Sus scrofa: one gene and its partners. The protein of the gene in region 3 purifies or fractionates together with the protein of the main gene of each other region. This does not show direct contact. Links are inferred from orthologs where the notes say so. Each region holds a gene or a part of one and is shown on either strand. Other genes may lie near its edges.

Region 1 (3,926 bases), on a different chromosome or scaffold from region 3:
TGTTCAACTATCAAGTACATTTGAGAAAAGGGATTAAATAAAAATTGAAAAAAAATTAAACAGTAGGATATATTGGAGTAATTAATTTGCAAATGTGAGCTGAGGTGTTCTAAGAGTGGAAATATAGCATGTAATGTCTTGACATTTATACCTTAAGCCTGGAAAACCTACTGGCATCAACTAAATTGACCCAGAAAAATCTCCACCATACCCTTGGGAGAAAAACCTAAATATTTATTGAGAGTTCTCTGTGGTGCAGCGGGTTAAGGATCCGGTGCTATCACTGCAGCAGTTGGGTGCCTGCTGTGACATGGGTTCAATCCCTGGCCTGGGAATTTTCATGACACAGGTGCAGCAAAAAAAAAAAAAAAATTTCCTCAACCCTCCCACAAAAAGACTAAAATATTTCTCATATTCTCTGATAACAAACTGTGTTTGGCATGCAGTTTAGTTTAATAGCCCATAAATATTGGTTAAATCATCTAAGAATATTTTACCTGACTACTTCCCGTCATGAAAATTGTCTCAGAGTGACAATGTATATATATCACACCATCTTACCCTAAGTTCTTGGTAATTTTGTTCAGCAGCTCCGGCTTCTGCTTTTTCACCACATCCATGACAGCATTATATACATCACATATCTTCACACCTAATGACAAAACAGAAGAAAGGGAACTTTATCTTTCAGAAAAAAAAAAGACATATTTTAATCAAGATTTTTTTCACCTATTAAGTCCCCTAAAGCAGGCTTTCTCAAAGGATAAAATAAGGAATACAGTGGCAGGAGTGGCAGAGCTTTGAAATTTGCATTTAAAAAAGCAATCCACCTGGTCACTCTTTAATTTCACCAGTTGAGAATCACTGACCCAGTGGGACTGTAGAGCCACATTGGTTTGACAGAAATAATTTAAGGAGTTCTCGTTGTGGCGCAGTGGAAACGAACTCGACTCGTGTCCATGAGGATACAGGTTCGAGCCCTGGCCTTGCTCAGTGGGTTAAAGATCTGGTGTTGCTGTGGCTGTGGTGTAGGCCAACAGCTGCAGCTCCAATTCGACCCCTAGCCTGGGAACTTCCATATGCCACATGTGCGGACCTTAAAAAAAAAAAAGTTAAATAAATAAATAATCTGGTTTTTAAAAAATAAATAAAGGTAATAAACACAAAGTCCCATTTAGCCAACTGGGAGTGAAGAGTCTCAAGGCAAAGATGTGTCAAGCATTTTGCTTCTGAGGTAGGCAGCTACTTGCTTAGCAGGGATGCTGTTAGTTCCGCTCTCAAACTAGATTCATGCTATCCGCTCAATACAGGATTAACATTACACACTCTGTTGGCAGAGATACTACTTCCCAAAAATAAGAAGAGTAATAAGGAAGATCTCGACACAGAGCCCTAACCAGAGAGGTTTTTGTAAACTTCATTATAACCACTCATGCATAAAAGAAAAGTAGACTGAAGAACTAAATGCTAGGATGATTCATAGTAAAATCTCATTCTACTTATAGTACAAGAGCCTCAGGGATATCAACTCCCATAAACGTTACAGACGTTTGTGTTACATGATTTCTAAACCTTTTCTAAGGCACCTCACCATGTCTTAATTCCTTTAGCAGCTCTTCTTGAAGCTGAAGCAAAAAGTTGTAATTTTCTTGAACCTCCTGAGAAGGATCAACCATCAAAGTGCGGACAAGGTTGGAGCAGTAAGATTTGAAACGAATACCCATGGCACAGGTAATGGCCCCAAAATGCATGTGATTCTTGTCACTACAGACCAAAGGAAGAAAGCATTTCATTACATCAACTAGTGAAGTCCTAAGGATCACTAACACACAATGTCAGTAATCACTATCTTCCCCCTGCAGTGTCCCAAAGCTGAAGAGGAAAAATAACCTACTTTTTTTTTTTTAAAAAGAACCAGTTTTTAAAAAGTTCTTAAAAAAAAAAAAAAAAGCTAAAAAGTTTTAAAAATAAACCAACTCTGGAGCAAAATTAGTGACCCAAACTCTTAGGATAAAAATTTAGTAAAAAGTTGCTGTATCCCAAATATGCAAGATATACTGAATTTTATTCATTATAGCTGAACAGGATGGCAGTGAGGTATCATTTCCCAGCAGTCCACTACAATTCACTGTGAATCAATCAGTCCCTTCAGACCAACCAGGACAAACAGCATTCTTTACAACTTTTTTTTTTTTTTTTTAATTAGAAGGGGAATTACATCATGGTATACCTAACATAATTTTAATGTTCTTCTTCCAACATGTTCTGAATTTTTTCTTAGCATTTTTAATCATTTGGAATCAGCTTACAATCAAATGCTCAAGTAGGAAATGAACAACTGTGTGAAACAAAAAAAAAATACGTGGAGAATAAGACAAGAAGATAATGTAAAAGGCTAGCCAACAGTTATTCTTTCTCCTACTTTTCTGAATTCTAGAATGAGTACAACAAAAAGCAGGCTGAAGGCTAAAATGCTCTGGCTGGTGGTATATTTGGAAATTCTCATACCTCACCACACTGAACTTGAGATTATAGTTGCCACCACTCTGAATGATAGGAGGGTAACACATTTCCACAGTAGAAGGGTCTGCCCCAGCTAGGTATTTCTTCTCTTCAATGGCCTTTTCCACAGACTCAGCCAGTTTGCTGTGTCGAACTTTCTGTAAGTATACCCAGAAATAAAACAATACTTACTAGAGTGTGGCAGAGGTGGAAATTATCATTTGAAGACAACACATATCCTGATTATCTTATAGGATGCTACAAAGTCTTATGAAGTGGTTTACCCACAGCTAATACACTGGTGTACACGCAAAACAAATTTAGAGAAAATGTGGAATTCGCAGCTATTAAAGGAATTCTCAAATAAAATACTAGGTAACCTCCAGAAACTACAGTGCAAATTTATAGTAATTGTGAAAGAGAGCTGGCACAACCACACCACCAACCTGCATATGGAAGGAAGCTCAACACGCACCAAAATACACTGCAAGGTAGGGACTTACTACTGTTTCATTAAAACAGTAAAAAGACTTCCTCCTCTCCACTTACCTCATCTGCATCGACTATTTCCATTACTCTTTCCTTGAAGAATTTGTTGAAGACCTCAGAAGTGATGCTGGCTGCTTTCTTCATTAGGTTGAGCTCTCCATCCTCCTTTACAGCAATGGTATAGGCCACAACTGCACTGATGTCTATCTGCAGTCAAAGGGACAAAGAGCTTCAGATGTGCAGACACAGAATTGCTAAGGAAACATCCCACTCCCAATTTGAATATTATCAGAGATGATATCTGGTTATCCAGCAAACTAGTCATCAGCAGTTTGCAGAACATCTAAATAGTCTCTTCTTGGACTGAAAAAAACATCTCAAAGAGGTCTTTACCAGGTCACAGTGTGTATCCTAAGAGGCATTAAACTAAAGTATCATTTAAAATGTCAATGTAAATGCCTCTCTCTTGAGGTTTTCGTAAAGGCTGAAGAAAGAAGAGCGACAGGAGAGAAGAGAAGCAAAAAAATTTTTTTGGACAAGAGATTTTTCTGTTTCCCTCTGAAGCAGCTGAATTATATTCTGAATGCCTCATTCCTAATCAAATAGTAAAACTGGCTTACTGCTCAGCCAAAGGGAATGACGAATAGAAATGTAAATTAATATAGTTTTCCCATAACAAATTCTCTGCACTCTGATATGGAAGCCCATCCTCTCACTCTCAATGTGCTTGCTTCCAAGAGTATTCTTACTTTGTCAAAGCCCTCTTTGTTGAGGCAGTCATTCCAGCTCTTCATGAACTCTCCTGGGAATTTGTCTTTGCTGAACACTCCAATCTTCTTGCCATTCTTGCTTTCTTTAATGGCTTCAATCATTTTGTCAAAGCTGCTCTTATTACTTTCATTCTATCAGTGCCACAGAGAAGAAAAAGCGTTTTA
Region 2 (4,432 bases), on a different chromosome or scaffold from region 3:
ACTTATTTCCTGGTTCCCTAATCTTACTAAATAAGGTCAGATACACAACCCCAGCTGATCATACCGATTACCTTGCTGCTTCTAATGCTGTATAAAACGTACTCTTGCCCCAACTCCCTGGGGAAGTGTGCTCCACTGCTTGTGAGTCACTGTACTCTTCCAACCATGGACTGCTCTCCCTAAGTAAATGACATTCAACTTGTTACTAAATGGCCTTTTTTTTTTTTTTTTCCATTTGATAGGTAACAAGTAATTTCCTTGTGAATCTCTCTGGAATTCAGACATAATTCAAAATTAATGCATAAAACTGTATTCACATATACATATATTCCATAAGATGTATACAGATGGTATCACATTATCTAGATAGTATTCTGCATCTTGCTTTCTCTAACTGTACAGAGAAATATCCTTCATTCCTAGCATAGCTGGACCTATCCCACTGTGTGCATGGCTGCTATAATATAACCAGCGGGACTGGCAGGCGATGCCTGGAGCCAGAAGGTGGGAGACTAGCTATTTCAGATGAGGGGAAGAAGGGAGCAGATTTGGGGGACGAGCAGGGGGTAGGATTAGATGGGCAAGCCAATTCTGGTTGGCATGTAGGGTATTCGTGAAATGATTTGGGGCCAGAGGATGGGTGCTGTAATACTTCAGGCCAACATTTTAGACTTTCTTTACCTTTTGCAGTGGAGAGGAATAAGGAAGTCAGCTGTTTTGGGTGAGATACAGGTTGTCTAAAGAAGGGCTTGACAGGTTAAGTGTTGTCCAAATGGGAGCTCTAAGGTTGGAGTTTTGCAGGATTGGTTACTTTTCTAGTCCTTGGTGCTCCCTCCCAATTCTAAGAAAAGTGTTTTCTTTATCCACACAGCAGTATAGAGGATTCATTCGGAGATTCCTGCTTCCCTTTACCTAGGCCCGGAGCTAGGGCACATCCTTTGAGCCGCTACCAAACAAAATCCCGCAATCCTTCCCCGCCCCCGCGCCGCCGGAATTCCGAGATCCCGGCGGGCCTTCTACCAGGTTCTCTAAGGAGCAGTGATAGGATCCCGTAGCCGCCAATCACAACCTCCCGGATACCCGGATATGAAGTGGTGCGCGGTACAAAGGCAGGTTTCCACCTACCGCTTCGTCAGTTACAGTGGCCAATAAGCATTTCTCAGGTGATAAATGACAGGAAAAATAACCAGTTACAAACTAATTTCGCTCACGCATGTGGAAATTCTCTTGCTTAGTCTAACCCACCACTGATTGTGATTGGACAGAATTGTGAAGAGCGGTAGAACTGTCTAATTAGAAGCGGGAGCGAGAAAAAGCTCAGCCAATAGGAAGAGTCCTAGAAGTGGGGCGGGGACTAGGCCTTCGCCTCGGCGGCAGAGGAGACTCGGGGGCCATTTTGTGAAGAGGCGAAGACTGAGCGGTTGCGGCGGTGTTGCCGACCTCGAGCAGCAGTCCGCTTCTCCACGTAGAACCCGGGAGTAGGAGATTCAGAATCGAATCTCTTCTCCCTCCCCCCTCCTGGTAAGTGGAGGGGGTGGAAGCAGGGGAGTCGCTGGGTTCCTTGGGGAGCGCGAGGGGGTGTGGGAGAAGACGGGGGAACCCTCCTCTCGGTAGAGTAAGCAGGCCCCCGTTTATTCTATTTGCACGGGGGGATTAGATCTTATGCAAGAGAGTTTTATAGGCCTCAGCCCTTGCGTGGATTTTTAACCTAATGTCCTCTAGGCCAGGATCGGCAGGGAGAATGTCCTTTTTCTTCTTCTCGCTCTCCTGTGTTAACGGCTGCTGTCCTTTCATTTTCTATGACCATGAGGTCTCTAAGAGAGATCATGAAAGGGAAGATCGAAATGCTCATTAGTATAGTCCTGTAAATTTAAAAATTGAGCGGGGGATGGGAAGGGTTATCAAGCAGATATTTATTGTACCGCAAGCCTCTAAATTCTGGAGCGTACCACAGGGTATAGTAATAAATATAACAATAGGTTTAATATTTTACCGGTTAGTTTTTGTTTCACTCCTCCCTGAGCAAATGATGGACTTCGACGTAGTTATTTTCAATTCTATTTTTTAAATTGTAATCTCATTTACATATTAACAGTAATAATGAAAGCTGGCTTTTTATCTACAGGTTACAAATCACTTGAAATATATAAGTTAGTGGAGCTTGCTTGAGGTAGGTATTACTGTCTTTCTCAGATAGAAACCGCAGCATGAGAGTGTGGATTGCCAGGGTCGTATTAAATCAGTAGCAGGAGTAGTAAGGAATTTGGCCACTAGGTTAAATTAAATGGCTTTTCCTACCTCTTGATGTGGTAGATACTAACATACTGTATTTGAATCTTTACAAGAACGTAATTACAGCAACCACTAGCGGTAATTGGAAATTCCCAAACTGCCCTTGGGAAAAATATTAAATTATGAGAATTACATATACTATTGTTGTAACTTCCTAAGACAATAAAGTTTGACTTTCAGGGTATTCTGGCATGCATTTTACAGATCATCCAAACGTTGACCAAAAAAAATGCGTGCCTGTATGCTTTTTATTAAGTAGGTATTATAGTGCTTATTATTTGCTAGGTTCTGAAGCATTCAAGTTTTTTCCTAAACTTGCAAAAATTATGTGGGTTTTTTAGTAGTATCACATTCGCATATCAGATCCTTTTTTTAATTCTTGTGTAAGATTTAGGTGATTTTATTTTTCATAACGTGTTGCTTTCACAAAAGCTAGTATTAGCACAGTTTAAACCAGTGCTGCAGAATAAATTCATCCCTTAGGAAACATACTTCATAGGCGCTGAAAGTATTCTTATTTTACATAGCTATGTACTTGTTCCCTCACCATGTAGATAACTGTTCTAATTGTAGTAAGAATCAAAAACGTTGCTTGGGAGTTCCCGTCGTGGCGCAGTGGTTAACGAATCCGACTAGGAACCATGAGGTTGCGGGTTCGGTCCTGCCTTGCTCAGTGGGTTAACGATCTGGCGTTGCGTGAGCTGTGGTGTAGGTTGCAGACACGGCTCGGATCCGCGTTGCTGTGGCTCTGGCGTAGGCGGTGGCTGCAGCTCCGATTCGACCCTAGCCTGGAACCTCCATATGCGCGGAGCGGCCAAAGAATAGCCAAAAAAAAAAAAAAAAAAAAAAAAAAAAAAAAAAAAAAAAAAAAAAAAAACGTTGCTTGCTTTTTTTTTTTTTTTGGATAAAGCCTGAATATTTATACTATTACATGGACTTAAAACTAAAATTAAGTGCAGAACTGCCAGAAGTGACATAAGGGGAGTTCGCTGGTGGCTCAGTGGGATAAAGATAAGTCACTGCTGTGGTGTAGGTTCAATACCTGGCCTAGGAACTTCCACATGCCTCAGTTGAGGCCAAAAAAAAAAAGCAGTGATTAGTTAATTTAGGGAATTATATACCTCAAAAATATTATTGGCAAATAGAAATGTAAGAAATAAGTTTTTAGGAATAATTATTCATAGGAATTGGAATTGAAGGACACTTCTTGCCTTGAGGTGTTAGAAATAACGGGTTCATTAAGATCAGCATGTACCAAGGTAACAGTTCCTTTGAGTTAATGTCTATCCGGGATGATTTGGCCACAGAATTAGTATCTAAAACAGTTGTAGATTTGATTTCAAGTAGGTAGGCATTAGTAACATTTTCATGTTGGCTGAAGAAGATTTAAGAAGGAAGATGCAATTGACCTTTTTGTGTTTCCCAGTGCTTATGCCACAGGAAAACTTGATGGTATTTGCTATTCCTTTGGTAGAGAATTTAAACACACCTTTTCCGTGATTATGTCTCCAGAGGGTTTTACATGGTGTGGGACCTTGTTATTATGAATGGAACTGCTGTTAGAAACAAGAAACTCCAAGGTAGCTAGTTATTCTAATACTAAAGATTAATCTTTTAACTGTGAGGCTTTAACTGGGGAGTGTTAGCAGTAGAAAGATCCTTGGCTTAGGAGGAGTTAAGAGAACTGGATATTTCCCCCTCCCCCCATTATTACCTCTCAGGCAAATCAGTTAAACTTTCTGGAATTCAGTTTTACACTTATGAGGGAGCTTAGATTTCTTACATGTTTTAATTTTGTTGCCAGAAAGCTAAAACATGTACAGAAATAGTTTTAATGTTGAAAGCAGTTTTGTTTTTGGCTATACCCTCAGCATTCCTGGGCCAGGGATTGAACCTGAGCCACAGTTGTAATGTCAGATCCTTAACCCCATGCACCACACAGGAACTTCTGAAAGCAGTTTTTGTGTATTAGTAGTTACTATTAACTACCTTAGTAACAGTATTTCAGTCTTCAAATAATTTTATTATTGTCTTTGGGGGATGTTACGTGCTCAAATTTAATGTGTACTCATTCTCATTGGGATCAGAGAAGCTTAAGGTTTTGTACACAATTTACTAGAGAATTGACTATGATAAAGAA
Region 3 (3,926 bases):
AATAAAAAGTATATATTCATAGCAGGCAAGCCAGATATCCCATATGAAAAGTCTAGATAAGACCTTCCTCTAGAACCCTGCTACTCAAAGTATGGTTCATGGACCAGCAGTATTGACATCACATGGGGGTTTATTAGAAATGCAAAATCTCAGGCCCCACCCCAGACCTACTGAACCAGAAAGTGCCTTTTTTTTTTTTGGCCGTGCCCACGGCATGCGCAAGTTCCCAGGCCAGGGATTGAACCCATCCCATAGCAGTGACCCAAACCACTACAGTGACACACCAGATCCTTAACCCACTGCACTACAGGAGAACTCCCAGAAAGCGCATTTTAATGAGACCCCCCCAGGTAGCTCGTGTACACAGAGTTTGAGATGCTCTCTGCAACACAGGCTTTATCAGGTTGCCCCTTTCAGGGAAATGGGACTCATCTAAAACAAAGGGATGACTGGGCTTCTTGGCATTGTACATGTTTCTCCACTGTCTTACTATTACACAGGTACTAATTCACCAAAGATTTCACATTTATTATATAAAAGTAAAATTAACCAGAAATGCATTCATTTCAAAACTGAGAAGAACGGCTGGAAAGTTATCACTCTAATTATAGGGATATCAGGAACTAAAGACTCAAACTGAAGTTTTAGGGTAGACAGAAAGACCCTGTTTGAAATGCATTACTTTAAAAGGCCAACAGGTGGCGCTGCTTCCCCTCTCAACCTTCCAGCTCCTTCCAAAAAGGACACCATGGGGAGGAAGGGCTGGCTTTAAAGAGTTTCTTGCACTTCTTCAGAATTACCCCACTCAAGTCCGAATCGGTGTTGCCAGTTAAGTTGTAACATGCTTCTAACATAAAGGAAAACATTAAGTCACCAAGAATAAAATACATAAAGGCAAGAAAGAATGCAAACTACTTTGGGGTATGTTAAACTAAATATAAACAATATTTTAAAAAAGGAGTTCCCATCGTGGCTCAGTGGAAACGACTCTGACTAGGAACCATGAGGTTTTGGGTTCGATCCCTGGCCTTGCTCAGTGGGTTAAGGATCCCGTGTTGGTTGTGAGCCGTAGTCTAACACGGCTCAGATCTGATGTTGCTGTGCCTGTGGCATAGGCCGGCAGCTGTAGCTCTGACTGGATCCCTAGCCTGGGAACCTCCATATGCCGTGAATGTGGTCCTGAAAAGCCAAAAAAAAAAAAAAGAGAGAGAGAGAGACTCTTCAGGAAATTTTACTGAATTCTATCCCAATAGAGAAAGTACTTTTGATGCCTCCCATTTAAGATGAGCTGTCAAAGATGAAATGACAGCTCCCAGCAGTGGAAGGGTAGGAGGATAACTAGAAAGTTCCCGGCAATGGCAGTGTTTTGTGGAAAAGGCTGAATTCCAGGAAGAAACTGCTGAGTCAGAGCTGAAAATTGGAGGTTCTTGGAGGCCATTCACTGCTTCAGCCAGCTCGTGCCCCACATCTCCCTAAAAGGCACTAAGGAGTCTGAAGATTCTCTTCCCTAGAAAAGAGGCAGAACTGACAGTATCAACTTAGACTAAGTCAGATACAACTTCTTGACTTACTGCAGTCAATAATTAGTTTACCTAATTAAAGGGAAGAAACCCCAGAAAGATCAAATGAAAAAAATGCAAGAGCCCTAGAGCTAGAGTTCATATAATGGAACAAGAATGGAGCTCATACGATGGGCAAGAATGTGGGAAGGGACCATGGTGAGTAGCTCAAGTCTCGGCTTTCCACCTCAGAAAATAAAGAGAAACCAAAGGCTAAGGAAAGGAATCTAGCTTTCCTTCAAATAACTTTGGATCCCACAGTTAGTCTTTACCAGACTAGGGCTACAGAATACCACATTTCTTTCTATGATTAGCTAAGGTTCTTTCTCACCACTGGAGTTTTGGCTTTGAGTCACATTTTTACTGTCTCCAGGAATTACCCACTCTGAGGGCTGACAGTAGAGCTCTACTCTGTCCTGTGCTCTCCAATCAACTCAAGTCAGAATGTTTACATGATGCAAGCATTTGTCATGGAGGCTATAAGGTCCTGCTAGACTGCACACTCCATGGGAACAGGGATTTATTAGTTAGTATTGTCCACTGCTGGGTCTTCGTGTGTAAACACAGTCATAGTGAATACATAGTTTAAAAAAAACAAAAATTCCAGCTTGACAAGTTCGACACATCCCTGATTTGCAAGACCCAGACTTTCAGTATAAACTACTACCCTTGACTTATAAGCATCCATGGCCTGAGGCCAATGCTACGTGGACAGAGATATACCAAAACGCTCTGAATGTTCACCTACTGATGTTTTTCAGCAGTTCTCCTGGCTCAATGTTTCTCAAAGTTTTGGTCAGCAGACCCCTTAGTTCAGAAGCACCCAATACCACTCAACACCTACTAAATGGGCCCAGATCCACTGGGGACCTAAGGGTTTGAGGAATAATGCTTTAGCCATTTCTGGAGAAAACTCTTGGAATGAAGGAAATCAGTTGAGTATTACTATCTGCATGCTGCTATCTGCCTAATAAGGGAGCATCAAAGACTACTCTCAAAAATCTTCAACCCAAGGACAGAAACAGCAATGATAGTTAATAAACAGAAAATTCTGAGGGTTATAAGAGAACTAGGTAGGATTAGTTCTTCAAAGCAGCTAGTCAGACTTGACTGCACAAAGGGCAAAGCCATAGTGTTGTACTATGTAGAATGAGTGACAGACATCTACCAGTCCTACCTAGAGGTTGATGGCAGACTAATTCACAACCAAGTACGAAATACTGTTTTGAGTGATGAGCATCTTGTCCGCTTGTATTATATCACTAAATTACAATACTGCCATTCAAGTAAGGCTTTTTTAGTAACTTTTATGAAGAGTAGCTCCTTAGAAATGAAGTTCCATCAACAAAGACCTATTGTATAGCACAGGGTACTATACTTGATATTTTATAATAATCTATAAGGGAAAACTACATATATATAGATATATATGTGTATGTATATATAAACTGAATATATATATATAAACTGAATCACTTCCTGTACACCTGAAACTAACACAACACTGTAAATTTACTTCAATTAAGAAAGAAAGTTAGTTCAGAGAAAAACATCTAGCTTGTGGACCAAGTGCTATGTAGATGGACCCTTCTGAGACCATGTAAATAAGACATTAATAACCCCTTTCTCAGAGCACTTTTTCTGCACCAAATGGGTCTTTAAGAGTTAAGTAAATACCTGATGACTTTCCCCAAACCAAATGACAACAATAAAACAAAATGAAGTGAACAAAAAAGATTACACAGCACAAGATTTTTCCTCACTTTCTATTCCTAAATAGAGGAATTCTCTTTCCTTGGCCAAGAATCTGACAATCTTGGAACAACTCACCATCATAGTAAAACTTGACACTCTCTGGAAGAGGTTCATATGGTGGAGCAAATACAGGACCTTTATGTTCTAGGAATTTCCACTTGATGCCTTCAGGATAGCGCTCTTCTTCCCACCTTTAAAAAACAAAAGCACAATCTCATTTAGTGATTACTTCACCTAATACAGAGATCATTACCCATTAAATGTCAAAATAATTATCTGCTCAACTGACTACTGCTCTGGAGTGACTCTGGGCCCCACATTCAAGGCCTGGATCAAAATAACCAACATCCTTCACTTTGAAAAAGCCAATACTCACAACAAATAAGATGAAATACTCAGGTAAGCAGAGGAAAATATAATTCAACAGTTTAGTTCAAAGATATTGAGTACATGAGAACATTACTCAGCAATAAATAGGGGATATGGAAACAGAAACAGTTGTTTTATCACAATGGTACATAAGACAGAGGTATTATTTATACGGTTGATACATAGGAAAAGGCCTCCTGGGAATGGAGATCCCAGGTGAAAGTGTAGGGGAAACAACCCTTT
Region 4 (4,387 bases), about 30 Mb from region 3:
CCAGTTTGTTTGTTTTAAATCAAATTTTCCACAATATTCGGATATATATAGCTTCCCAATCCTATTCTATGTTTGGGTTTGATACACAAACCCATTGTTCTATAGTTTATAAAGGTTGCACTGAATTTGCATTGCCTTCTCACAATTTAGATGGCATTTATAAACCACCTTAAGACATCAAGTCTTTCAAGTTCTCACAAATTAGTTACTTGGAAATGCAAATTTTGACTATTTTTCTTTAGAGTTTTCTTTAATTTTAGCAATTACCTTGCCACAGACGGTCATGTCCCATCCCATCCCCCCTTCCCCTGCCAAATTCACATTAAAACCAAATCCCCAATGTAATGAATGTAATGCTGTTTGAGGTGGGGCCTTTGGGAGATACTTAGGGTTAAGCAGGCAGAGCCTTCGTGAATATCCTTACAAATGACCACAAAGCTCTCTCTTGCCCCTTTTCACAGAAGGCTGCTATCTGTGAACCAAGAAGCGGTTCAGAAACCAAAATCTGCCAGTTTCCTAGTCTCCATAACTGTAAGAAATAAATTTTTGTTGTTTATAAGCCACTTAGTCTATGGAATCTTGTTACAGCAGCATAAAGTTACTTTTCAAAGTACTGTGTTTACTTAGAAATTACTTACTGCTTCCTCCTCTTTATCAACATTACTCGTTTGTGACAACTTAATATTTCCATTTCCGAGTTCTCCACTTGCAGAAAATTTCACTCCATCTTTTGCACAGGAAATTACAACAGCATCTCCAATGTGACTGAGATCTCGGCATATACGTGCAAATTCACCAGAAGGCATCTTTACTACACAGCTGTACTCTTGTTCCTATGAAACAAGGAAACTTAAGTTCAATGAATGGAAATGAAAGATTTGGCACCCTTACTGTCTGAAGACTCAGCATTTAAACAAGAGAATTTAAGGTTTTCTAATTATTTTGAAATATCACTTTGTGTAATTTCTTAACATACTCTAACCACTCAAAACGTAAACACAGTTATAGAACAAGAATGTTATAAAATAATCAAAGGAAACAAATAAGAACTTGAACTTTTATAGTAAATGCACTGTCCAGGGAACAAGAGCCTCCCCTTAAATGATCTACAGGGTTAAATCAAGAGAACATTAGGGTATAGCACACACACAATGACGGTGCTAACAGGCCGTCATTTTTTTGAAAAACAAAACAAGAAAATACAATTACTAGGCATATTAAACATCCAAACCCTCTTCTCTCATTTAATGTTGATAAACCAAAGCATAATGAATTTCTGCTAAAGTAGCTTTAAAATGTACTCAATAAAAAATTAAGCATTGTAGGAATAAAAAGAAGAGAGTCAATTAGGTTAATGCAAATATGCATGTGGCAGCAATCAATTCAAAACAATGAGCCATTGCAGAATACCATCATTTATATCAGTCTAAATACTCGGATTTGGAACATACATGAGCAGATATACAGAAAAAGCTCTTTTAGGAAGTAGGCTTTATTATATTAATATATTTTATGTAACTATCATGACTGTATGTAGTATGCTCAATCAGAAACTTTGATACTCACTGGAATTCCAAGTTGCTCAACATCTAAATCCATTAACTTCATTTCATAGTCTGAAACCTTTTCCTGATCTACCAAAAGAAAGCAAACGATGAAGAAAAACATGTAGGTTTATAATTGTGATAAATTTTACAATTACCACAAACTATCTTAAATTTCTCTCAGCTTTGGGAAATAAAGACACTGCATTCTAATCTCCTCTAGCATTAACTCAGAAGGGTGTAACTTACTTGGAGCTTCAAACACTAGTGCCAAGGTGTCTGCATTATCTTCTGCCCTTAGCGTAATGATGTCTTCATTGCCAGCACATTTTAGTATTTTGGACATGCTGGAACACAGGAGACAAGAGTTTAAAATCGACACCATCTTCTCAAGATCGTTAGCTTTCTAACTCAATTAAAACCATGAGTTACCACTTTTAACCACTGGACCACGTGTCGAATTGGCGAGTTTGGGAAACGTACTGCAGGAAGATGTAAGAGAGTCCAGCCGTTTTGGAATGCAATCTGCCAGTATTTATACTTATACGAAAAAGCCCACACCCCACAATGTGCAATTTCGCTTCGGGATATTAAAAAAAAGACCAGTATTTTAGAAAGTACAAATCCCTTTGGTGGGTGAAGTAAATTATTGGGCCGCGACGATCTTAGATTTTAATGTACCCACTGAAGCACCAGTCTATTATATTGAGTGTAGCACGGGTAAACACTTTTCACAAGCTTTAAAACTTAAACATGTGTATGTACTAGGAAAGGTAGTGATCAAAAAGTTTAAAACCACTGTCCTTCCTGGAGAAATTTTTCCTCAAATCCAGGATCTTAGGATGTTCACTGCAACTTTGCGGTAAAAAAGTAAGCTATTGTCCATATCACGGCGACAGAAGTAGGGCAAATTATAAAGCGGCTCATCTAAAGGCGCCTGCAATTAATAACCAAGGGCTCCGCAACAATCTTTTCCTGGCACCGCGAAGAAGCCCGTCGTTTTCCCGCCACCACTTGCTTTGTGACTTTGGCGCGGAAACAGCCGGTTCGCGCTGCAGTCAGCGCGGGCTTTCCGAACCGCGCGCTCTGCTACTGGTCCCGCCCCCCCGCCCCGCGCCACAGGCCAATAAGAAAGGTGCAGATATCCCACGCCAGCCAATAAGGGCCCGCCTTATGGGCGCTCCCGCCAAGAGCGGAGGTAGGGGTGTCCGCGGGCCCGACAGTCTGCGGCTTCGGGACTCACCTGGTGAGGTTCACGCCCATGGCCAAATTGCGGTCGCAGCGGTACGTGTCGAAGCCCTCGGAGCGCAGGGTGAGCTGCACCAAAGAGACATGAGACGAGTCCATGCTCTGCAGGTTCACGCCGCTGGAGCTGATGTCCCAGCAGGCCTCGTTGATGAGGTCTTTAAGCGCTTCCAGCACCTTCTTCAGGATAGAGCCCTGGACCAGGCGCGCCTCGAACATGGTGGTGGAATCACAACGACGCGGCTACAGGTGGAAGAAAGAAGGAAGGAGTAGCCGGCTTAGGCTTCAGAAGTTGAGAGAGAGCAGGAAAACACCACAACAGAGCCTGAACCGGAGGACGCACACTGCCAGCCGGCCGCGCCTGCAGCGGTTTAATACAGCCGCGTCTGCGAGCGCGCGCTACGCCCCCACGCCCTTCATGGCTACGTCACCACGCTGCCCCGCCCACTGCCTGGGCGGAGAGGCTGCGGAGCCAATCGTGTCCCTGCTCCACATGAAGCCCGTCCCACCCCGAACATCCATTGGAGAGTGTGGGCGTAGGGGCGGGGCAGGAATCTTGCGCCTAACGAGGGCCTGCTGATAGGCATCCTGCGGGGCTCCCCGCCTTTTTGTCGTGTTCCGGCGCCCGGACGTTAGACAAGTCGGGGCAAGTGTGAAGGTCAGGCCTAGGCTTGGGGGGGGGTCGTTGAGGTGGCTTTGTGGTGCCTCATCAATTTCCCGCTTGAGGGATGGGACATTTACAGCCTTGAAAGTGAAGGTGAAACGGAAATCCAGCCTTCTAGGAGGAAGAGCCACCATGCGCCTAAAGAGTATAGCTACTTTAAATATGCACTTTTTTCCCCCTGCTATTATAGAGTAGCAATTATAGAAGCGTTCCTAAAAGTGAACAATAAAGAGATGTACAGTTATGATTAAAAGAAAACAGTTATCGTGGCTCCCCACTGCCATCGCCTCCCCCACCACACACACACCAAACTATCGTTTACTGCATACAACTTTCTAAGCTTTTTTTTTTGTACAAATGTACTTTTAAAAACAAAATTCAGGAGTTCCCGTCGTGGCGCAGTGGTTAACGAATCCGACTAGGAACCATGAGGTTGCGGGTTCGAACCCTGGCCTTGCTCAGCGGGTTAAGGATCCGGCGTTGCTGTGAGCTGTGGTATAGGTTGCAGATGCGGCTGAGATTCTGAGTTGCTGTGGCTCTGGAGTAGTAGGCTGGTGGCTACAGCTCCGATTGGACCCCTAGCCTGGGAACCTCCATGTGCCGCGGGAGCTGCCCTAGAAAAGACAAAAATAAATAAATAATTAAATAAAAACAAAATTCAGGGAGTTCCCCTAGTAGCGCAGTGGAAACAATCCGATTAGGAACCCTGAGGTTGCGGCTCGATCCCTGGCCTTGCTCAGTGAGTTAAGGATCAGGCGTTGCCGTGAGCTGTGGTGTAGGTCACAGACGCGGCTTGGATCTGGAGTTGCTGTGGCATAGGCCAGCAGCTGTAGCTCGTATTCTACCCGCAGCCTGGGAACTTCCCTATGCCTCGGGCGCGGCCCTGAAAACAAAAAACAAAAAAACGGTTTATACTGTAAACACTTATGCAAAA
Region 5 (3,512 bases), on a different chromosome or scaffold from region 3:
GGGCAGGCGGTGCAGAGGGCGGCCGGGGAGGACCGCTCTGCTCTCTCCCAGGTGGAGAAGGCGGCGCGTAGGGGGACGCCTTTAGCTTCCCCGCCCTTCCCTCCAGATGTGGGCCTTACGCCTTATGGCGGATTTCGTCCGAAAAACTGGTACCCAAAAGACGGCCCCTCCCTTCGGACGGAGGCGTCAGAGCCGGACCCTCTTTCGCCCCACGTCTCAAGGTCGCACCCACTCCCAAGTCCTGTGACTTTGAAACCTTCTTCCTTGACACCATACCCCGCGCTGCCCCTCAGGTAAGGGAACTCTCTGCCTTGGTTCCCATACGAGAGGTCGGGAGGACGGCATCTTGTGTTCTCACTTCACACAAACAGAAAACCCAGAGCAGCCTTTCTTGAAATAAACCCTAAGGTGGTGCTTAGCAGCTGTTCAAAACTGCTCCGGCACTTCGCTGGTTTGTCTTCGCAATGTTGCGAGGAAGATTCTCCTTTGATTCTCTACAGCAGACATCTACAGCCTGGAGACGGCCGCGAAGCTGGGAGTCAGGCTTAGGCTGTGAACCCAGGGGGCTCCGGAGCTCCTCGCAGCGTGCAGGTGGTGGCGGCCGGAGCACGAGGGTAGGTGCACAGTCCAGATTTCGTGGAGTCTCAGGACACAAGGAAACCCTTGGTCTTCAGCTGCACTGTCCCAAGGCTCCCGTCGGACACACCCACCTGCACCTACACCCACACTGAACCAGAGCACTAAAATACAAGGAAACTTTTATTTTCAATTTTTGTCAAGAAATTTGCTGTGGTTTTTTATGCTTTTGGTTCTTTTCCTTTTTTTTTTTTTTTTTTTTTCCAACTTTATTTCATTCTAGCCGCTCAGGGGCTGGAGCCGCTGGGTTCCTGGTATTAAAAAGATGCCAACAGAGGTAGCTGTGTCTCGCCCAGGGGCCCGGCCCACTGTGAATACCCCCCAAAAAGGAGAAATGAAAACACAAAATAAACCAACAAAATAAAACCAAAAGGAGGAAGAAATTCAGATCATTTTCTTCAAGCCTGGCGGGAACCCACAACAGTTTGTGTGTAACAGACGTTACAGTGGGGAGAAGCCAGGGCCCAAAAGGCCAGCCCGCCAGCTCCCTGCAGATGGCGCCGGCGCTACTGCTGCATGTCTCTCCAGCAGGAAGGGCACCACTGCCCCTCACTCCCTCCCCTCCCCCAGTGCACTGGGGGCTGTTCCTCTACAGCTTGGAAGATGGGGCAGAAGGGAGGAGAGGGTCTCTCAGGCCCCCAGGGGAGAAGCTGGGCAAGGGAAAGTGAGGAAGGTCACTGCTCAGCGGTGGACGTGGTATCATCCATCTGGATCTTCACTGCTGCTGGGCTACCTAGAGAAAGAGAGAGCCAAGAGGGTCAGAATGTCAGACCCCAGGAACCCTCCTGACCCCAAAGGAACTCACTGGTGGACCAGCCCCACCTGCCCAATGTGTAAAGCCAGGGACAGACAGCAACGTTACAAGTTCCAGAGTGGCTCTGCTGGAACAGATGGCCAGAGGAAAATGGTCCTATACCTGCTGTGGAGTCGGTTCAGGTGCCCGGTTTGCCAGGCGGCTGAGAATGTTACGCTCGGACATCTGTAGCCTCACAGCAACTGGGGGAATTCGGGCAATAGTAGCTGGGAGTCGAGTCACATCGGCTTTCATGTCACTCAGCAGTTCTTCTAGCTGTTTCAGAACTGCATGGGGGGGAAAAAAGGCGGTGAGCCGTGGTGGTCAAGACCTAGGCCCATCTTATAATATGTGGACCGGCTTTCCCATCACTTCTCAATGATCAAGTGACGTGCTGGAGTGCTGTCTTGTCAGTCACCTGACCTGGCTCCACCACGCTCAAATTCCTATTCCTCATATTCCAATTCCAAGTGTCCATGATTCTATGTTTTAAAGTTACCTCTGTCTCTTGATCCCTGTCTCTATCTCCATCACTTTTATTTTTTCTTGACTGTGCCTGCAGCATGCAAAAGCTTCCAGGCCAGGGAGAGAACCATGCCACAGCAGTGACAACACCAAATCTTTAACCACTAGGCCACCAGGGAACTCCGCCACTTCTTAAATAGCTATTCCTATTTCTTTCCTCTCCACTTTTGGAGCTGTCTCCCTCTTCCTTTATAACAGCTGCCTTTTCCTCATTTCACCCTCCACCCCCTCACAATGTCTTACCTTTAATTAGAAACAGGATGTTGAAAGGGGGTCTAGAAAGCACAAGATCGTAAATAACCTGAAGTTACCTCTAAAGTAGCCCAGATAACACTATGTATTATTCTGGGTTGCTCTCCACCTCTCCAAAAAGCTGAGTATATTCAAGAAGTTAAGAGGCAAAGAACTACTGTCCTTGATTGCCTGTGAGATATTAGCTTCCTGAGGAGGAAGGCAAAGCTCCCCAAATGTGTTGGGGAGGGACAGAGAAAGAAGGAGGCTAAGTCAGCAGGAGGCAGGGGAGCCACTGGCTACCTTTGTGCAGGACCGCATTGGCTGGCTTGTTTCCTGCCATTGACTCCTTGGACAGGTGCTGATGACTCTCCGCCAAACACTCCACCTCAGCAAAGCGGGTGTTCAGGGCCATGGAAGGGTGGGAGGGGTCCTCTGACATGTTCAGGTAAGCTGCCCGACGCAGCTGTTCCTCAATCACCAGGGCTTGTTCTAAGAGCTGGACAAGGGATAAAGAGATGGGCATTGGAATGATAATTCACTTGGCTTAATTCTGACGGGCCTCTGAGAACCTGTGAAGAACCTTAGGAATGGCTCCCTCACACCTGAACTGGTGTTCAACACCAATTCAACATTACATTGGCTTTTTTATCCCTCTTTGGTGGTCCAAGTTTTTTAAGTTATCTTACTGATTCACTTTTACACAAAAATGATAAAAACTCAATTTAGAAAATACAGAATGTATAAAGCATCAAAATCACAATTCTACCTCCTAAAAACAGTTAACATTTGATGTGTTTCCTTATATTTATTTTTTTATGTATTAAGATCCTATGTATTTGGAGTTCCCGTCGTGGCGCGGTGGTTAACGAATCCGACTAGGAACCATGAGGTTGCGGGTTTGGTCCCTGCCCTTGCTCCGTGGGTTAATGATCCGGCGTTGCTGTGAGCTGTGGTGTAGGTTGCAGACGCGGCTCGGATCCCGCGTTGCTGGGGCTCTGGCGTAGGCTGGCGGCTACAGCTCCGATTGGACCCCTGGCCTGGGAACCTCCATGTGCTGCGGGAGCGACCCAAAGAAATAGCAAAAGGACAAAAAAATAAAAAATAAAAAAAATAAAATGTATATAAAAAAAAGATCCGGGAGTTCCCGTCGTGGCGCAGTGGTGAACGAATCCGACTAGGAACCATGAGGTTGCGGGTTCGGTCCCTGCCCTTGCTCAGTGGGTTAACGATCCGGCCTTGCCGTGAGCTGTGGTGTACGTTGCAGACGCGGCTCGGATCCCGAGTTGCTGCGGCTCTGGTGTAGGCCGGTGGCTACAGCTCCAAT
Region 6 (3,926 bases), on a different chromosome or scaffold from region 3:
GAGACACAAAGTTCAAGCTATCAAACTGAAATGGAATTTTGACTTTCTGCTCATTGAAAAGAGTAGCATATTAAACTTTAATAAATTCATTTAAAAAAATTAATATCCGGGAGTTCCTGTCATGGCGCAGTGGTTAACGAATCCAACTAGGAACCATGAGGTTGCGGGTTTGGTCCCTGTGCTTGCTCAGTGGGTTAACGATCCGGCGTTGCCGTGAGCTGTGGTGTAGGTTGCAGACGCGGCTCGGATCCCGCGTTGCTGTGGCTCTGGCGTAGGCCAGCAGCTACAGCTCCGACTCGACCCCTAGCCTGGGAACCTCCATATGCCGTGGGAGCGGCCCAAGAAATAGCAAAAAAAAGACCAAAAAAAGACAAAAAAAAATTAATATCCGAGCATCTGCAACAAAGACATATTTTCTGATTAACTGAATTTAAAAATTTTTGGTCAACTAAATGTCATAATACTTCAAAATTGGAAATGGCAATTCACTGAAAATTGGAAGCATACCCACCTGAGCATTGTGAAGATGTATCGAGGACTAGCAGAATCCTTGCCACCATGCAACCTGGTACCAAACTGACCAATGGGCTGTAAGAGGTTCAGATTATTGCTACCCACAAAATTCTGAGCCAAATTGATAATGGTCATCATAAGTGACATCTGGGGGGGAAAAAAGATTCATTAATCTTATCTGTAGGCTTTTAATAATAACTGTCTGATTATGACTATGCCTCACTATACTCCTGTAAGATTTTATGAAATGTAGATCTTTATTGGCTTTTTACATATGAAAACATAACAGAAGTAGTATCTAAACCCAAGACTTCTGTCTCCAAGCTCTGGGCTCTTGCCTTACATGGTTTTTATCATCTGACTCAACCTTAAAGGCATAGCTCTTCTCTTCACCCTCAGCAGAATGAAATATTTCCTTCTTTGTGTTAAAACATTTTGCTCATTTCTATTCTAGCATGTATCACTCTATTCTACCATTTTGTATGTGTGAGAGAGAGAGAGAGAGAAAGAGATAGTCATATGGTTAAACTGTGATTTTAACTCCTTAAAGGTAGCAAACATATGATTTATCTTTGTACACTTGGTAGATGGTAAGCATTCAACAAATGTTTACTGTGTGAACATTTACTGAGTAGCCCATGTATATATTTTTAATTTTTTTCTTTTTTAGCTACCCCACGGCATATAGAGTTCCTGGGCCAGGGATCAGATTCAAGCCACACTTGCAACCTAAGTCGCAGCTGTGGCAATGCTGGATTCCTTAACCCACTGTGCTAGGCTGGGGACCGAACCTGTGTCCCAAGACACCACCAATACCATTGTGCCATAGCAGGAACTCCTAGCTGCTATATTTTGATTGAAAGCAACAAGCAAGGCAATCATTACCTTTAAAGTTCTAGAAACTTACAGGCAACCTAATTCTTTAAAATTGTTTTACATCAATGCAAAAAAAGCAACTTCAATCACAAAATTAAAAAATGAATATGTAGGAGTTCCCATTGTGGTTCAGTGGTAACAAACACCACTAGTATCCGTGAGAATGTGGGTTTGATCTTTGGCTTTGCCCAGTGGGTTAAGTCTCCGGCGCTACTGTGAGCTGTGGTGCAGGCCGGCAGCTGCAGCTCTGAGTCGACCCCTAACCCACAGACTTCCGTGTGCCACAGGCACGGCCCTGGAAAAGCAAGTAAACAAACAAACAAAAACAAAACCAATATGTATGTTTGTACAAAATCAATTCAGACATATATGAAAAACTGGAAAGTTGCCCTTTCCAATTCCTAGGGATAACCAAAGTTAACAATTTGGAGCACATCCTTCAAGTATTATTCTGCCTCCTTTATTCCCTCACCTGACAATAGAACGTGGACATTCTTCAGTGTTAGCACACATAGATTTACTTAAGTAAATCTGATCCCATGTATAGATGTGTCACAATTTATAGTAATGTTCCAATTGATGGACATTTTTCATGTCTAAATTGTGGCATAACAAAGTTACAGCAAACATTATTAAACACTTTTGAATATAGATCCTTGCATGTCTTTTGATTATAGTATCCTTATATTATTTTTATAAATAGATTTGTAAGGTCAAAAAATAAGCACATTTTACAGTTTGATAGTTTTCACCAAATTGCTCTCCACTATGGATATACCAGCTTATATTTTCACCAACTGTTTGGAGACTGACTTTGCAGGTATTTCTGCTATAATGCTTTCTGGAAACATTATGGATTATGTATTTACCTCACCATGATGATAAGAGGACATCTCAGCTACTGACCCAGCTAACTGGGCCACCTTCACTTCTCGCTTGTCATTTCGTTTGAAACATGTAAACAAAACTTTTCTCTGTCCCGGTTTCAAACCTTCAAAACGAAAGAAGTGTAAATATTAATATCCTCAATTTAACCATTTCTGGGCATTGATTTCCATGTTATAATAAAAATAGACCAATAAATTGAAACTCACCATCCACCATGGATGGGATAGATCTCTCATTATCAGAATTTGAGAACAGGATAAGTTCCTTGTTTATGAAGTCATTGTATGTCAGATATGTGGTAGTTTGCCCATACAAGTAATCCTGAGAAACCAAAGAGTGTTACATGATCTAGTTAAAAATAAAAAATATCACTGGTCATAACAACGATTAAGACAAAAATAAAACAAAGGCATTCCTTAGCACTGTTATTTCCATGAAAAAAAAATTTTCTTTTTTTGGTCTTTTTGTCTTTTTAGGGCTGCAGCCGCAGCATATGGAGGTTCCCAGGCTAGGGGTTGAATCAGAGCTGCTGGCCTACACCACAGCCGCAGCAATGCCAGATCCGAGCCACATCTGTGACTCACACCACAGCCCATGGCAACACTGGATCCTTAACCCACTGAGCAAGGCCAGGGATCGAACTTGCATCCTCATGGATGCTAGTTAGATTCATTTCCACTGAGCCACAATGGGAACTCTCTCCATGATAATTCTTAAATCCCTCAAAAATAAAGATTTATGAAAAGTATTTTATATGTTTTAAAGACAAAGCGAATTTAACTGCTGCACAATTAGAAAAAAAATGCATTAACTTTCTAGTTTCTTTCAGGTTTAACACATTTATGCAGGTGTCTAAATAAGGATATACAGTTATCTATTATTAACATTTCTAGTGAAATAACTATTAATTTTAATTTGCTCTGTCAATTCTAAAAGGTCAATAAATAGTACATTTCGTGGGCTATATTAAAAAATTTTTTTGTACCTCAGGAAGGCCAAGTAACTTTCGTTGCCGTCTATCTTCCATGAAATGCGTTAACCATTCCTTTCGATCATCTATCTGTTTTTTGCTAAAGGCCTGCAAATTAGAAGATGAAAAAGATGTCACTGGTAGACAGGTTCCAAGTTATTTCTTCTATAAGAAATTAACTAATAAACAACAAAATCTCAGTTTTCTAAAATATATGCCTCCTTTCTCTGGAATATGATTACTGAAAACATTCTACTCTCTCTCTCTATATATATATATTTTTTTTTGGCTTTTCTGTCTTTTTAGGGCTGCACTCGCAGCATATGAAGGTTCCTAGGCTAGGGGTCTAATCGGAGCTACAGCTGCTAGCCTACGCCACAGCCATAGCAATGCCAGATCCAAGCCGCATCTGCAGCCTACACCACAGCTCACAGCAACGCCAGATCCTTAACCCACTGAGCAAGGCCAGGGATTGAACCTGCAACCTCAGTGGGGATCCTTAACCCACTGAGCAAGACCAGGGATTGAACCTGGATTCGTTTCTGCTGCACCACGATGGGAACTCCTCTACTCTATATTTTATTACGTGAAAATTTAAATGTTTGAAATGACCAGTTAAAGCATTGATCTCTATAACCAGAATGTATGTGTGAAATATAACTCAAACTCACCAGGCTGA
Region 7 (3,926 bases), on a different chromosome or scaffold from region 3:
CTTGGTTGGATTTGGCATTGCTGTGGCTGTGGTGTAGGCTGGCAGCTACAGCTCCAATTTGACCCCTAGCCTGGGAACTTCCATATGCCACAGGTGCAGCCCTAAAAAAAAAAAAATATATATATATATATATATAATTGATTTTAGTTTTTGCTTGACTGTTTTCTAATTACCTGTGTATTAGCAAAATGGAGGTTACGAAGTTATTTTTTAACAGTTTTATTGAAGTATAATTCATGCAGGAGTTTTCTTATGGCCCAGTGGGTTAAGGATCCAGCCTAGTCATTACAGTGGCTTGGGTCAGTGCTGTGCGGGTTTGACCCCTGGCCCAGGAACTTTCATATGCCATGGGCATGGCCAAAAGAAAAAAAATTCACATACCTCACAATTCACCCATTTCCTATGTATATTTCACTGGGTTTTTTTTTTTAGGGTATTCCTAGTCATGCATCCGTCATCATAATCAGTTGTAGAAATGTTTTCATCATCTGGGAAAGAAATCTCTTACCCTGTAACCATTGCCGCCCAGTTCTCTTACCCCGCTCCATCCCTAGGCAACACTAGTCTATTTTCTGTCTCTATAGATTTGCCTTTTCTGGACATTTCGTATAAACAGAATTGTAGAATATGAGCCATTTTGTGTTTGGTTTCTTTCTTTCTTTTTTTCCTTTTTTTCTTTGGCTACACCTGCAGCATATGGAAGTTCCCAGGTCAGGGATCGAACCCACACCACAGATGTACCCACAGCCACAGCAGGGACAGCACTGAATCTTTAACCCACTGAGCCACAAGAGAACTCCCTGTGTCTGGTTTCTTTTACTTAGCGTAATGTATCTTAGGTTCATGCATGTTGTACCAAGAATAAGTATTAAATTTCTTTTTATTACCAAATAATATTCCATTGTATGGATGTACCACATTTTATTTATCCATGCATCATTCCATCAACATTTCGGTTGTTTCTGCCTTTTAACTATTAAGAATAATGCTACTATGAATATTTATTTATGTTTTTGTGTGAACCTAAGTTTTTGTTTGTCTGGCCTAGATATCTGGGAGCAGGATTGCTGGGTCATGTGGTAACTTTGTATTTAACATCTTGAAGAATGAACAAACTGTTCCCAAAGCAGCTGCACTATTTTCCATTCCCATCAGCAGGGTATAAGGGCTCCAGGTTCTCCACATCCTTGCCAACACCTGTTATTTATCTGTCACAAAGGTATTTTTCAAAAACAATTCTGTGAGTCTAAGAGAAAATTTTAAAGGTATGGACGTGTTCCCAGTTTCTGCCTCTTATTTCTGCCCATGGAGGAAGTTATTTTTTCCCTTAAAAGAGTGTGTTGCAATAAGCCATTTGTTTTCTCCAATCTCCATCCACTTGTAACCAGTGGCCCACATTTTTGGAAGGGTTAGTTTGAATCAGGCGAGCCATCCACAGTCCTAGCCTAGTCTTCTCTTTGTGGAGCATCACACAGTAGAACCTGCCCCGCTGACTCTCTAGCACAGAACTCAAAATAAGAAGCTGTCAAGTGTGTGGAGCCATTGCTTTTAACTCGTGTAATGTTGGCCGGTCATTGAACAGGAAAAGTGCGCACCCCTTCCAACCGTCTTCGCTCTCTTGCTTTTAGATGGACGACGAGGACGACGATGACGATGTAGGAGATCATGATGAAGAGCACCCTGGGATGGAGGTGGTGCTGCATGAGGACAAGAAGTACTACCCCACAGCCGAGGAGGTGTACGGCCCCGAAGTGGAGACCATAGTTCAGGAGGAGGACACGCAGCCTCTCACCGGTGAGTCTGGAGGCGCTGGCTGGGGAGCGCTGAATCCGAAACCAGAAAACTGTCTTGAAAGCTCAGTGAATGAACTGATTAGTTTCTCTTTCAGGTACTATGTCTAGATTGAGATTCAATTAACCCCATTTTGATATTCAGTAAAACTCATAGCTTATTACTTAGCAAATAAGAGTTACAAAGAGAGAGAGCGTTCTTTCTTTTAATCTAATATCCGTTTAGGTGCTTGAAGACAGTCTTTAAGTTCTCTTCTGGTCTGATATCCAAACAATACCAACTCCTTTAACTAGTCTTCACAATGCTTATTTTCCACTTTACTAATTTTCACTGAGCTTCTGGAAAGTGGTTGCATTTTTAAATGCAAGGAGTGCTTTTGAACTGATATCGAGCTCATCCTCTATCTAGTCCCTCTCTCTTCCTCTCACAAAATAAAGTCCAAACACCTCACTCCACAGTTCAAGACCCTTCACTGTCTCGTGCCAAATAGCATTCCCAGGACTTTCTCAATCTCAGTGACCCATGAGAATAGCATAAATTGATGTCGCATATCGTATATTCTGAAAGCTCAGTCTGTTGGAATAGGGCTCTGTGTTTTTATGTTTTATGCCTACCTGCACATCACTACTTTTTTTTTCTCCTAGAACCCATTATTAAGCCAGTGAAAACCAAGAAATTCACTCTGATGGAGCAGACACTACCTGTCACAGTGTATGAAATGGAGTAAGTTATTAAGGTCTTGCAGCATCTCTGCACAAACAGTATGGGTTCATTTTTTTTGTGGAGGTAGGAGGTGGTTTGTGGTTGAAGTAGCCAGTGAATTATTGTGAAAGCAGAACTCTCTCCCTACAATTTGCCAGCATTTTCTTTCTTTCTTTCTTCCTTTTTTTTTTGTCTTTTACTAGGGCTGCACCCTCAGCATATGGAGGTTCCCAGGCTAGGGGTCTAATCGGAGCTACAGCTGCCGGCCTACACCACAGCCACAACCACGCCAGATTCGAGCCTCGTCTGCGACCTACACCATAGCTCATGGTAACACCAGATCCTTAGCCCACTGAGCGAGGCCAGGGATTGAACCTGCAGTCTCATGGTTCCTAGTCGGATTTGTTTCCACTGCGCCACAACAGGAACTCACCCTTACTTGCTTTTTAAATGTCATTATTTTCCTATTGAAAGCTCCATGACATTTCAAGATTATGTCACCTCACAAATGAGTCTGTTCCATTCCCAAAGCCTGAACTGTGTAGGGGTAGAAATTCATGTCTGCCTTGGAACATTCTCCAGTTGGGCTGAAAATTGTTCCTGGCCAAAAATACCTAGAACATCTCTGCACCGCTCCTTTGTTTGAAAACCGTTGCCAGAGTCCCTTTTCTCTCTTCCTTTCTCCTTTCAGTTTCTTGGCAGATCTGATGGATAACTCGGAGCTCATCAGAAACGTGACGCTCTGTGGCCATCTCCACCATGGCAAGGTGAGGGAACTTGGAACAGGGTTGCTCTTTGTTTCTGCTGAGTGTTTCAGCCTAAGAGTCACTAATTGGGGTCTGAGGCCATAAGGCTGGACCTCCTGACTCTGCAGGGCCTCCCTGGAGCCTATTGTGAAACCGAGCCGTGAAATCCCAGCTTTTCCTGAGCAGCAGATGGAAAGCTAAGCCACTTGCATGCCTGAGCCTTGTGTCTACATCTGGACAGCAGAGGGGAAATTGGGCCTTACTTTATTTTATAAGTTTTCATTTCCTGGAGGACGCTTGCCCAAGAAAGATTTCATCTTTCATTTGAAAATAATCCCGTGGCTTCTTTATTTCTTTGTTGTCCCATAATCTCCCCTGCTCTCCTCCTCCTCTCCTTATCCCTGAATTGTGTGGTGTATTGGTAACTGGGGGAGGGTGGAGTCGATTTTCCTCTGTGGCCAGCAGAACATAACTTTCTTTTCCCTTGCAGACGTGTTTTGTAGATTGTTTAATAGAGCAGACTCACCCGGAAATCAGAAAGCGCTATGACCAAGATGTAAGTAGAAATTCTGTGGAGGGTTTGGGATGAACCATTCAGAACACAGGGGGGTGTCTCTCCTTCTCCTTCCTTCTAACCTCCCACTCTCATTATAAGTAATGATGCCTATAATATGCTGCTTCATAATT

Evidence for each region.
Region 1: the proteins of TOP1 (region 3) and SUPT16H fractionate together in Homo sapiens (co-fractionation; 3 studies listed by BioGRID and IntAct, with this or other methods). This does not show direct contact. The link is inferred for Sus scrofa from reciprocal best matches to the Homo sapiens genes TOP1 and SUPT16H.
Region 2: the proteins of TOP1 (region 3) and HNRNPC purify together in Homo sapiens (affinity purification with mass spectrometry; 3 studies listed by BioGRID and IntAct, with this or other methods). This does not show direct contact. The link is inferred for Sus scrofa from reciprocal best matches to the Homo sapiens genes TOP1 and HNRNPC.
Region 4: the proteins of TOP1 (region 3) and PCNA purify together in Homo sapiens (affinity purification with western blotting; 3 studies listed by BioGRID and IntAct, with this or other methods). This does not show direct contact. The link is inferred for Sus scrofa from reciprocal best matches to the Homo sapiens genes TOP1 and PCNA.
Region 5: the proteins of TOP1 (region 3) and CHD4 purify together in Homo sapiens (affinity purification with mass spectrometry; 3 studies listed by BioGRID and IntAct, with this or other methods). This does not show direct contact. The link is inferred for Sus scrofa from reciprocal best matches to the Homo sapiens genes TOP1 and CHD4.
Region 6: the proteins of TOP1 (region 3) and TOP2A purify together in Homo sapiens (co-immunoprecipitation; 4 studies listed by BioGRID and IntAct, with this or other methods). This does not show direct contact. The link is inferred for Sus scrofa from reciprocal best matches to the Homo sapiens genes TOP1 and TOP2A.
Region 7: the proteins of TOP1 (region 3) and EFTUD2 purify together in Homo sapiens (affinity purification with mass spectrometry; 3 studies listed by BioGRID and IntAct, with this or other methods). This does not show direct contact. The link is inferred for Sus scrofa from reciprocal best matches to the Homo sapiens genes TOP1 and EFTUD2.

The regions. Positions count from the first base shown.
Region 1 is NC_010449.5:77,794,746-77,798,671, reverse strand, and holds part of SUPT16H (FACT complex subunit SPT16), read right to left. Parts: intron 3,894-3,926; coding exon 3,741-3,893; intron 3,199-3,740; coding exon 3,052-3,198; intron 2,661-3,051; coding exon 2,509-2,660; intron 1,765-2,508; coding exon 1,592-1,764; intron 653-1,591; coding exon 562-652; intron 1-561. UniProt on the Homo sapiens protein: Component of the FACT complex, a general chromatin factor that acts to reorganize nucleosomes. The FACT complex is involved in multiple processes that require DNA as a template such as mRNA elongation, DNA replication and DNA repair.
Region 2 is NC_010449.5:77,919,753-77,924,184, forward strand, and holds the start of HNRNPC (heterogeneous nuclear ribonucleoproteins C1/C2), read left to right. Parts: upstream 1-1,392; 5' UTR 1,393-1,521; intron 1,522-2,125; exon of another isoform or gene 2,126-2,170; intron 2,171-4,432. UniProt on the Homo sapiens protein: Binds pre-mRNA and nucleates the assembly of 40S hnRNP particles. Interacts with poly-U tracts in the 3'-UTR or 5'-UTR of mRNA and modulates the stability and the level of translation of bound mRNA molecules. Single HNRNPC tetramers bind 230-240 nucleotides.
Region 3 is NC_010459.5:43,769,148-43,773,073, reverse strand, and holds part of TOP1 (DNA topoisomerase 1), read right to left. Parts: intron 3,506-3,926; coding exon 3,390-3,505; intron 1-3,389. UniProt on the Homo sapiens protein: Releases the supercoiling and torsional tension of DNA introduced during the DNA replication and transcription by transiently cleaving and rejoining one strand of the DNA duplex.
Region 4 is NC_010459.5:14,139,536-14,143,922, forward strand, and holds the start of PCNA (proliferating cell nuclear antigen), read right to left. Parts: upstream 3,050-4,387; 5' UTR 3,009-3,049; coding exon 2,788-3,008; intron 1,892-2,787; coding exon 1,794-1,891; intron 1,635-1,793; coding exon 1,567-1,634; intron 834-1,566; coding exon 639-833; intron 1-638. UniProt on the Homo sapiens protein: Auxiliary protein of DNA polymerase delta and epsilon, is involved in the control of eukaryotic DNA replication by increasing the polymerase's processibility during elongation of the leading strand.
Region 5 is NC_010447.5:64,102,504-64,106,015, reverse strand, and holds the end of CHD4 (chromodomain-helicase-DNA-binding protein 4), read right to left. Parts: intron 2,685-3,512; coding exon 2,489-2,684; intron 1,717-2,488; coding exon 1,553-1,716; intron 1,370-1,552; coding exon 1,352-1,369; 3' UTR 804-1,351; downstream 1-803. UniProt on the Homo sapiens protein: ATP-dependent chromatin-remodeling factor that binds and distorts nucleosomal DNA. Acts as a component of the histone deacetylase NuRD complex which participates in the remodeling of chromatin.
Region 6 is NC_010454.4:22,011,013-22,014,938, reverse strand, and holds part of TOP2A (DNA topoisomerase 2-alpha), read right to left. Parts: coding exon 3,919-3,926; intron 3,356-3,918; coding exon 3,263-3,355; intron 2,599-3,262; coding exon 2,484-2,598; intron 2,381-2,483; coding exon 2,259-2,380; intron 661-2,258; coding exon 512-660; intron 1-511. UniProt on the Homo sapiens protein: Key decatenating enzyme that alters DNA topology by binding to two double-stranded DNA molecules, generating a double-stranded break in one of the strands, passing the intact strand through the broken strand, and religating the broken strand.
Region 7 is NC_010454.4:18,484,126-18,488,051, forward strand, and holds part of EFTUD2 (116 kDa U5 small nuclear ribonucleoprotein component), read left to right. Parts: intron 1-1,628; coding exon 1,629-1,794; intron 1,795-2,435; coding exon 2,436-2,514; intron 2,515-3,184; coding exon 3,185-3,260; intron 3,261-3,729; coding exon 3,730-3,795; intron 3,796-3,926. UniProt on the Homo sapiens protein: Required for pre-mRNA splicing as component of the spliceosome, including pre-catalytic, catalytic and post-catalytic spliceosomal complexes. Component of the U5 snRNP and the U4/U6-U5 tri-snRNP complex, a building block of the spliceosome.